Linked DNA regions of Mus musculus. The protein of the gene in region 3 binds, or shares a complex with, the protein of the main gene of each other region. Links are inferred from orthologs where the notes say so. Each region holds a gene or a part of one and is shown on either strand. Other genes may lie near its edges.

Evidence for each region.
Region 1: Rbbp7 (region 3) and Hat1 share a complex: the UniProt entries of both Homo sapiens proteins name them as parts of the type B histone acetyltransferase (HAT) complex. The link is inferred for Mus musculus from reciprocal best matches to the Homo sapiens genes RBBP7 and HAT1.
Region 2: Rbbp7 (region 3) and Hdac1 share a complex: the UniProt entries of both Homo sapiens proteins name them as parts of the core histone deacetylase (HDAC) complex. The link is inferred for Mus musculus from reciprocal best matches to the Homo sapiens genes RBBP7 and HDAC1.

The regions. Positions count from the first base shown.
Region 1 is NC_000068.7:71,409,619-71,413,271, reverse strand, and holds part of Hat1 (histone acetyltransferase type B catalytic subunit), read right to left. Parts: intron 3,130-3,653; coding exon 3,009-3,129; intron 1,482-3,008; exon of another isoform or gene 320-1,481; intron 1-319. UniProt on the Homo sapiens protein: Histone acetyltransferase that plays a role in different biological processes including cell cycle progression, glucose metabolism, histone production or DNA damage repair. Coordinates histone production and acetylation via H4 promoter binding.
Region 2 is NC_000070.6:129,532,500-129,536,152, reverse strand, and holds part of Hdac1 (histone deacetylase 1), read left to right. Parts: intron 1-1,426; coding exon 1,427-1,539; intron 1,540-3,653. UniProt on the Homo sapiens protein: Histone deacetylase that catalyzes the deacetylation of lysine residues on the N-terminal part of the core histones (H2A, H2B, H3 and H4).
Region 3 is NC_000086.7:162,773,783-162,777,435, reverse strand, and holds part of Rbbp7 (histone-binding protein RBBP7), read right to left. Parts: intron 2,884-3,653; coding exon 2,807-2,883; intron 1,701-2,806; coding exon 1,643-1,700; intron 1-1,642. UniProt on the Homo sapiens protein: Core histone-binding subunit that may target chromatin remodeling factors, histone acetyltransferases and histone deacetylases to their histone substrates in a manner that is regulated by nucleosomal DNA.

The DNA.
Region 1 (3,653 bases), on a different chromosome or scaffold from region 3:
AGGAAGTCCTGGAGAATGAGCATTTATCAATTTATTACTGTAAACTAGAACAGAAGAGGCCAGCTTACCATGCCCACATCAACCACCATTCTTAAAAAACAAAAATAAGGGCTGGAGAGATGGCTCAGCGGGTAAGAGCACTGTCTGCTCTTCCAAAGGTCCTGAGTTCAAATCCCAGCAACCACATGGTGGCTCACAATCATCCATGACATCTCACACCCTCTTCAGCTACAGTATACTACATATAATAAATAAATAAACCTTAAAAGAAAACAAAAACAAAAGCTAAAAATAGAATAAAATAAAAATGAAAGACAACTCAGTCCATCTTGAGGTGGGCTGTCATCGAGTCGCATGACAGAGGCTGATGTGAATCCGAAGGCCTATCCCCTCGCAGATGCCCACCTCACCAAGAAGCTGCTGGACCTTGTTCAACAGTCATGTAACTACAAGCAGCTTCGGAAAGGAGCCAATGAAGCCACCAAAACCCCCAACAGAGGCATCTCTGAGTTCATTGTGATGGCAGCAGACGCTGAGCCCTTGGAGATCATCCCGCACCTCCCTCTGCTGTGTGAAGACAAGAATGTCCTCTACGTATTTGTGCGCTCCAAGCAGGCTTTAGGACAGGCCTGTGGTGTCTCCAGGCCAGTCATCGCCTGTTCTGTTACCATCAAAGAAGGCTCTCAACTAAAGCAGCAGATCCAGTCCATTCAGCAGTCTATTGAAAGGCTCCTGGTGTAGGCCGTGGCCTCTGCCCTTCCCTGTCTACTGCCACCCTGTTTGTGTATCGTATTGTCTGTTAGCATGTACTATTTTCAGCCAGTTACTATTATATTGTACTACATCTGTGTTTTATATTTTTATTTTTGTCTTAATACGGTTATTTTTCACCATCTCTTCATTATCTTCTACCATAAAAAATGAAATGATAGCTAGGACAGGTGAAAGGCAGAATGTCACCATTTAACAACAGGAAGAACCAGGAGAAACTTAAGCCACGGACAGTGTATACTTTCATCTGCAAACTTATTCCACTGTGCAGGATAGGATGACAGTAACCCTGGTCCCTTGTGCCTTTGATATAAGATCTCCATAAATGTTACTGACACTGAGGAACTTCCTTTGGGTAGCAGTCTCCCACCCCTTATCATTTGAAGAAATTTGATGTTGGGCCTATGTCTGGGAGCCGTTTATTAATGTCCTGTGTATCTTTGATGTATGTAGCCTGATATTCTCCCGTATCTGGGGCAGTATTGTGGAGATCGTGGCAATTTGCTGGAACTTACAGCAGAGACAGTGCTAGCAGGAAACATCCTCTCCTTGGTAAATGGGGATGTCTTGTGGAACCATTTGATGCCCGTGTTGGGAGCCCTTATCCTGTTCTTCCCACAGCATGGGTCAGGTGTATTCTACCTCACATGAAGAAAGTGATAACATGTTCATTATTGAGCATCCTAATAAATATGTTCATATCTCATTTTAAATGAAAAAAATAAAAAAAAAAAAAAAAAAGAAAGACAAGGGAGAGGGAGATCTTTCCTTAACACTAAGCAAATGAACTTTGACCATGAAGCAAGTAGTAACCTGACAAAAAGATTGATTTCTTATACTTAACATAGTTCTTTTAAATAGAAAACTCTGATTTTCAGAAATGGACCAGTTAGAAGTTAGTACAAATAGCTATTTTCACTACACACAGTACTTGAAAGATTTATCAATAACTAAGTCAATAGTTCCTTTGGAAAAAAATCAATTTAGCACTATCAACTGCAACATTAAATCATTCACACAGATTCATAGGCACACAGACTCCTCAAATGACAGCGAATTTTGTGTTGTTCAAAGGGAAACATTAGCTGTTATTTGATATCAGAATACTCAGTATTAAATATTTGGATTCTGGAGAAACTTAACCATATCTAAATAAATAAAAAAAAAAATCTACTGAAAATCTCTACTTTAGTAATTTAGTCAATGCTGGTCTAGATGGAATTTAGTTGCAAATATTCACTTATACAACTATGGCGTTATTCATAGTTAGCTTTCTATCAGCAAAATTAAAAGAAAATTTCAAGAGATATAAACTGAGATAAGCCAGGCGGTGGTGGCGCAAGCCTTTAATCCCAGCACTTGGGAGGCAGAGGCAGGTGGATTTCTGAGTTCGAGGCCAGCCTTGTCTACAAAGTGAGTTCCAGGACAGCCAGGGCGACACAGAGAAACCCTGTCTCGAAGAAAGAAAAAAAAAAAAGAAGTCCTCCTGATGATACTTAACTGAGTTAAAAATATAAAACATGGGAGAAAGAGAAAAACATAATACAATCAACAGGACAAAAATCACGTTAAAATATAAAAGCCTACAGAAAGTTGGTAACTTCTATGTCTACAATAAAAGCAAGTTGGTACGTATTCTGATCAAAGTGAAGTTTTCATAGAGAAGTTTCACTCAGGAGATAAACAGACGCAGGATCATGATCACAGGATTAGAGAAAAGACAGGCAAACACTTCCTCATCCTGAAGCTACATTTCAGATTCCTTTTTAGAACTTTAACAATAAAAACTTCTCTTATAGCCGGCCGTGGTGGCACACGCCTTTAATATCAGCACTTGGGAGGCAGAGGCAGGTGGATTTCTAAGTGCGAGGCCAGCCTGGTCTACAAAGTGAGTTCCTGGACAGCCAGGGCTACACAGAGAAACCCTGTCTCGAAAAAACAAAACAAAACAAAAACAAAAAACAAAAAAAAACCTTCTCTTATACTCAAGTAGAAAAGTTAAGGGCTGGTGAGATGGCTCAGTGGGTAAGAGCACCCGACTGCTCTTCAGAAGGTCCGAAGTTCAAATCCCAGCAACCACATGGTGGCTCACAACCACCCGTAATGAGATCTGATGACCTCTTCTGGTGCATCTGAAGATAGCTACAGTGTACTTACATATAATAAATAAATAAATAAACAAACAAACAAACAAATAAATAAAAGAAAAGTTAAAATATATTTCTTTCTATTCTTACCTCCACACAATCAAAGTTCTCATCAACTTTAGATGAATATTCAACACGGAACAGTGTTGACAGGCTACCAGCAATATAGTACAGCAAGATCTTCAGGCCCTTGTAACCGAAAGCAGTTTCACTGAGATAAAAAGCAAAAACAAAAAGCAGCCGAATAAATTTTTGCCAAGTCATTGAAAAGTATTAACTATAACATATAAACAAATTTAAAATCGTACAGTTGCCTGTGAAGTTAAACTACATCCCAGGACATATTGAAGGTTATTCCAGAGTTTGGAAAGATGGCTTAATAGGTAAGAGTACTTGCTATACAAGCTTAATGAGCTGAGTTTAAATTGCAGCACCGGGCTGGAGAGATGGCTCAGCAGTTAAGAGCACGGGCTGCTCTTCCAAAAGTCACAGGTTCAATTCCCAGCAACCACATGGTGACTCATAACCATCTATAATGTGATCTGATGTCCTCTTCTGGCATGCAGGTGTACATACAGAGCACTCACATATATTAAATAAATAAGTCTTTAAAAAAATGTATTTTAAATTGGGGCACACACATAAAAAGCCAGGTATCTATCTGTGCATGTGCCCGTACTGCCAGTGCTGTGGGGAGTGGAGAAAGGAGACTGACTAGCTGGAGCTTCCTGCCAC
Region 2 (3,653 bases), on a different chromosome or scaffold from region 3:
CAGAACTCAGGGCTGCCACCTCAGGCATGACCCCACCCACAATGGACTGGACCCTCTGTCATTAATTACTAATTAAAATATTCTACAGGCTGGCCCATGGCCATTTTCGAAGTTGAGGTTTCTCCTCTCCAGTGACCATAGTTTGTGTCAAATTGACCTAAATCGAGCCAGCACAAGGTAGATTGAACAAATGTTGACTTCAGCCTATTGAAGTCAGAGCCCGGAGGCAAGAGGAGCCAGTAGGAGATGTTCTGAGCTGCACTTTAGGAGAAATAGCTGGTCATGATGTGGCAGGCAGAGAGCTTGAATCGAAGGCCAGGAACCAGTTAGAAGCAATTTCTGTAGCTGAAACAAGCAACAAGGAAGTTTGGTTTTATCTGTAGGCTGTGGTTATAGTCCCAGGTAGTAGTGAGTGATTTTGTCGTGGAAAAGGAATTCCATAAAGGTGCGGTGAGTTGAGTCACCACACTGCCTATTCATTCCCAGTCAATTTTATCCCATATATAGGTGTTCTAGATTCACCCTTAAACACTGGCTTATGTAGGAACCACGGGCTCTTCCTTTTATTTAAGGTGAGGAATACTCATGGAAACTAGAAATGAGCGTTAGAGTTCTGGGAGTTTGCTGGGTTCTCCCAGGAGAGTGTTTAACTGTGTTAGTAAAGCTGCTTCTCTAAGAGCTGGAGAGGTGGCTCAGTAGTTAAGAGCACTGAGTGTTCTTCAAGAGGACCAGGGTTCAATTCCCAGCATCCACATTAGGCAGCTCCCAGGAGACACCTGCACCAGCATGTACATGTCCACACACATTTATGTGTAATTGAAAAGGAAATCTTTTTTTGTTTAATTAATTAATTAATTTATTTATTTTTTTTTAAATATTTTTTTTAAATATTTATTTATTTATTATATGTAAGTACACTGTAGCTGTCCTCAGACACTCCAGAAGAGGGAGTCAGATCTTGTTATGGATGGTTGTGAGCCACCATGTGGTTGCTGGGATTTGAACTCCTGACCTTCGGAAGAGCAGTCGGGTGCTCTTACCCACTGAGCCATCTCACCAGCCCCAATTTATTTATTTTTATTGTGTGTGCATTGGTGTTTGAGGGGGTCAGACTCCCTGGAACTGGAGCCACCATGTGGGTGCTGGGAATTGAACTTTAGACCTCTGGAAGAGCAGTCAGTGCTCTTACCCACTGAGCCATCTCTTCAGTCCAAAAATAAAATCTTACAAACCGGAGAACCTGGGGGTATCTGTGGTGTCTTTAATCCCAGTACTTGGCAGAGTTAGGTAGATCTCTGAGTTTGAAGACAGTGTGGTCTACAGAGTGAGTTCCAGGACAGCCAGGGGTGCACAGAGAAACCCTGTCTGCACATGGGTGCACAGAAAAACCAAAATAAATAATAAAGCAAACTGTCTTCTCTTTCAGGGGATGTTGGAAACTACTATTATGGACAAGGGCACCCCATGAAGCCTCACCGAATCCGCATGACTCACAATTTGCTGCTCAACTATGGTCTCTACCGAAAAATGGAGATCTACGTGAGTTCCTGAGTGCTGCCCCTGCCTGCCTTGTCAGCTTGGGTTCCCTGCCTGCATTCCTTTTTGGGGGATGGGGGGGAGGGTTTGGTTTTTCGAGACAGGGTTTCTCTGTGTAGCCCTGGCTGTCCTGGAACTCACTTTGTAGACCAGGCTGGCCTCAAACTCAGAAATCCACCTGCCTCTGCCTCTCAAGTGCTGGGATTAAAGGCGTGCGCCACCACACCTGGCTCCCTGCCTGCATTCTTTAGTTTCCTTTCTCAGCTGCTCATTCATTCAGTGGCTATTATTTGGCGAGTAGATGAAGGTTCTATTTTTTTATTTTTAAGCACTTCAGTGTCAGTACGTGTAAGCTAACCAAGTTTACCGTGTCTGTGTAACAATTAAAGAATGCTAATGATAGAGAGGTGAGGAGTGAAGAACGGAGCCGTGGAGTTCCTTCAGACTGACTAGAAAGTCAAGGATGAGGCTGAGGTTCTAGCACTTTGGTGGGAGAGGTAGGATTGGGGTTTCAAGGCCACTCTGGGCAATTCACAGCCAGCCCTGGTATAGGAGACCCTGTCTCCAAAGAATGAAAACGCCTAGAACTTAGTGCAGCATTCACAAAGGGACTGGTATCCAAGTCAAGGGTTGGACAGAGGCACAGACCGAACTGAGGATGACGTGGTGTTTGGAGAAAGCAAAAGTCTTCGGGAAGTGCGCTGTAAGCCAACATGGAAGCCCAGTGTGGGTACTGCGGCGTGGATGGCTGGAGATTCAAGGCTGGCCTGGGCTACAGTCTTAAATGAGTGCGAGCTAATCTTAGCCTAGAATAAAACCCAACAACATGCTGGGTAGTGGTGCTTTGAGTCCCAGCCCTCAGGAGGCAGAGGCAGTCAGATCCCTGAGTTGAGGCCAGCACACAGTACACAGTCAGAGTATGGACTGTCTCTGACTTGGGGGCTCTTGTACCTCATTGTCTTCATCGAAGCCATAGCTGAAGGTGACCTTTGCACTTGTGACCCTCTCGGCTCCCCTCTGAAGAGCTGAGCTCCATGGTTGCCCGCAGGCACACCTTTTTATACAGCGCTGTCGTTGTCTTCCAGTGCTATGCTTCCAGCCTCAGTGTAAGCTCGTGTCTTGTTCCCACATACAGCTCTAACTAATTTTGTCTGAGCTTCCAATTTTAAAAGAAAAACTGGAACTTTGGATTATATAATACCACCTAAGTTTAAAATGTTGGCTCCATGTTTTGTCTTTGTTTTAATTTTTGGCTATAATTCCCAAATCTGTTTTTATTTTTTAGCATATGTGTAAAGAATACCAATATATGTGTAGACTAAATTTGGCTTGATTCTCAGTTTGCCTCTTCTGCAGGCAGTGCGGTACAGATTGAGAGCTTTTTTCCGTTTGGTTTGTTGAGGCAGGGTTTTGTTGAATTTGTAGTCCCAACTGGCCCCAAACGTAGGTAGTCTGGTTGCCCCCAGCCTCCCAAACACATGGTCACAGGTTGGCTTCCAGCTCAGTCTGTGGGGAGTGATGGCCTTGAGTTTCAGACCTCCTGCCTCCTTCCAAGGCCTGGATTACCAAGATTGATTTATTTATTTATTTATTTATTTATTTATTTATTTATTTATTTATTAATTATATGTAGTTACACTGTAGTTGTCTTCAGACACTCCAGAAGAGGGCGTCAGATCTCATTACAGATGCTTGTGAGCCATCATGTGGTTGCTGGGATTTGAACTCAGGAGAGCAGTCAGTGCTCTTAACTGCTGAACCATCTCTCCAGCCCCATGTCTAGTTCTTACAGCACTGGAGATTTGAACCCAGGACTTCATGAACACTAAGTATTCTGGCTGCTCTGCAGTGGCAGATACTTGTTAGCTGGGTGTGGTTGTACATACATGGCTTTGCTCCTAGTACTTGAGAGGCAGAGGTAGAGGAGTCTCTGAATTCAAGGTCAATGTGGTCTACATGTCAAGTCTCAGGCTAGCCAAGACTACATAGAGACACCTTAAAAATGTCTTAAAAAATAAAATACAGGACTGGAGAGACTGCTCAGCTGTTACGAGCACTGACTGTTCTTCTGAAGGTCCTGAGTTCAAATCCCAGCAACCACATGGTGGCTCACAACC
Region 3 (3,653 bases):
TTCCTGGTTCTTCTCTAGCTGTCTTTCACAGTAGCCTTTTCTCAATATTCCCAAGGCACAATATAACAGGGTTGCAAAAATAAATACTTTAAGGTCCAGACTTGCAGCATAGGCCAATGAAACTTTCCCCAAAAATGTAAAAGGGTGGGATCTTGTTTTCTACAAGGCACTATGCCTAACAAACCTTGTAGTACAGCTTTATCAGTTTTAAAAAAACTGAGATAAACAAACCAAGATGGGGGGGGGGTGTCACACATATCTCAGAGCACACATATCTCTGTGAGTGAGGCCTTGGCTACAGAAAAAACTAAAAGCAACAATTTCACATAAGTGAAATGGTATGGTAAACAGCTTTACAAATAAATAACTTCGTGTTTTTCTCTCCTTGGGGGGGGGGGGGGCAAGCTTGCTTCTATCAGTTGAACCGTTTCTCTTCACTGACAACTTACTAGTCTTAAATTTAAATGTCCTTTGATTTCAAGCTTTCTTATGAGTACCATAATAGACTTTTTAAAAGTTTCAATTATATGGGCATGTATGCCTATATATATATATATGAGTACAGTGCCTATGGAAGCCAGATATGTCTGATCTCTCTGGAGCTAGAATTATAGGGCATTGTGTGCCACCTGGCATGAGTACTGAGGACTGAATTCTGGTCCCCTTGCCAAGAACAGTAGGTATTTAAATGCTGAGCTGCCTCACTAGCCCCATAATGGTGTTCCTTAAGGACTATAAAACTATTGCAAATTCATAATATATACACAGAGAAAACTAGCTGTAGACAAAAGGCCTTTGTGAAAAAAAAATCATGAAGGCTAAGAGTCAGGCACAATAAAGTATTTTGGACACTACCATCTGTATACCACACACTCAATGTCTCATCCCCCTACCCCACCACCGCCATGGCCTCAAAGCTCATGGCCTTCCTGCTTGAGCCTCCTGGGTTATAGAATTATTTTTTAAAGCAGCAATGATATAAATGTCAAACACACTGGTCTAAAAATCCCCTATCCTTCTCTTGCTCATTTCTGCCTGGCGCTACTGTGCACAGAAGCCAAAGAGACAAGGGAGCTTGCACAAGGTTAGCACTAGTGAACACCTTCTGTGTCTTGGACTTACTCTCAAAGGGTTTTTTTCACCTTAAAATTCATGCACCATAAATTCTCACCTATGTTAGAGACAATGACCAAATGTTTGGAGGAGACACATGGTGAACAATTCAGAAAAGGGACAAAGAGCTACTACTAAGCCTGTCAGTATTTCACAGAAAAGTGTTAACTTCCATATGGTTAGAGAAAACCATGCTGGTAATCAAACAGCAGTGATACTACCTCCCAATCCCCCTCCCAGCAGAAAAACAAAAACAAAACAAGCCTCAAAAAACACCATACCTGAAATCAATAGGAACTTAAAGTTACCCTCACTGAAACATTTCCAGAAACTTCTGGGGCTCCATTTACCATTTGTAATAAATGTCAGAGCCTACAGAGCCTAATCACAAAAACTTCCTGGATTTCCTTTTTTTTTTTTTTTTTTTGAAATCACTGGCAAGCTAAAATTTGAAGCTCTGACTGACCTAAAATAGTCTAGTAAAAAAGTACTCAAGTGTGCATAATATGACATTTAATCTAATGCATACCAGGAGCTCTGGAGGCCCATCTTCTGCATCTTCTGCTGATTGTTCTTCTCCAATTTTACTATTAAGAAAATAAAGCTTTCATTACTGCAAAGTCTTATAGCATGCATGTGTGTTTTATTAACCCAGAAAGTATTTCTCTATGAGAAGTACTTAAGACAGGTTTCTCAACCCATGGGTTGCCACTCTGTGTGGGCTAAACGACATTTTCACAGGTGCGTGAAAACACACATTTATATTATGATTCATAACAGTAGCAAAATTACAGTTATGGAGTAGCCAGAAAAATAACTTTATGGTTGGGGGGGTTCACCACAACAAGAGGAACTGAACTTTAAAGGGTGGCAGCATCAAGAATGCTGAGAACAGACTTAAGTATTCTTTATTATTGTGAGTTGTTCATTTGGAGCCACTAATAAATTAAAGCTGCACAATGAAGAAATATTGCTCATAATAAACATTAGTTCAATTTCTTTTTTAACTGTGGTTTTAATGAAGTATAAGCCAAAGAAAGATTTGTTAGGAAAAGTCAAGAATATCATGAGTTTGAGGCCAGTCTGATCTGAGCTACACAATGCCCTGTGTCACAAAAAATGAAAGCGAAAACACTCAATCCAACAATTCTCTTTTCTATGCTACATGCAAGGAGACACTGACAGTATTTTAATGCTTGTGGTACTAGAGACTGAACCCACAACCTTGTGTATGCTAGCTCTATCATTGAGCTACAACCCTAGTGAACTGTAGCAAAAGGTATTTTAATTTGCTAAGCACACATAACAAAGACTTGAGCAACAAAGAAATAGGGCTGGAGTGGTAGTGGCTCAGCAGTTAAGGCCACTTGTTGCTGATGCACAACAGGGTTTATGTCCCAGCCCCCACATTGTACTATCCCTATACAACTACTCATAGTCCCTGTTCTGGGGATCTGATATGAGTACCTGGCACACATGTGTTACACACACAGGCAAAACACTCATACAAAATACATGACCAATTTATGTTAATTGCTGATTTACTTTTCTATCACAGAACAGAAACTCTTAAGGTAGTTAGGAGTTTATTGAAGTTGGATCAGCAAATTGCTTTCCTGGTTTATGAGTTCTATTATGTAATCTGTTAGATTGACACATTTATGCAGTTCCTTGTCACCAGATCCTAAATTACCTTAAATCCCACACATTCAGGCGGCGATCAGTACCACTTGAGGCCAGAATAGTTTCATTATGTGGAGACCAGTGGACCTAGCAATACAGATTTTGAAAACTTATTTAAAGAGCCTTGGTACCTTGGTCTGTAAGTATCATTCTAATCTGTATTTCCTTACCTCACATTCTGTATCCGCTTAGCCTAGAGACTTGACTGTCCAAGGCTTTAAAGTGAGCCCTACCAATCCACCTTGATGGCAGCACTGAACCCAACACTTTGTGCTTGCTCTACCACTGAGCTACGTACCCAAATCCTTAGCTACTCCCAGCTCCCCAAGCCTGCAGGCAGGAAGTCATGTTTCTAGTACTGAAGAAGTCAGGAATCCCAGAAATCTTTAGACCCATAACCATCCATAAAACCTTTAAAATTAGCCTATAATCTCTAATCCAAAACTATGTATAGGACCATTTTTACAGTGCACCCACCATATTGTCACTCTTAATTGAAAAATCCTTGAAAATGTACTTCAAACTGATTCCATTGAAGAATTTTTTCTTACTTCTGGATGGGAGGGGACTCTCAAAAACAATGACAGCAACAACAAAAATATCCATCACCTTGATTTATATAGAATTATGAGGAGCTTTATCAAAAACAAAATGTCCAAATTCCACCAAATAAAAAAAACTTCAGCCGGGCAGTGGTGGCACAGGCCTTTAATCCCAGCACTTGGGAGGCAGAGGCAGGTGGATTTCTGAGTTCGAGGCCAGCCTGGTCTACAGAGTGAGTTCCGGGACAGCCAGGGCTACACAGAGAAACCCTGTCTCGAGAAAACAAAACCAACCAACCAAACAACCAAAAAACT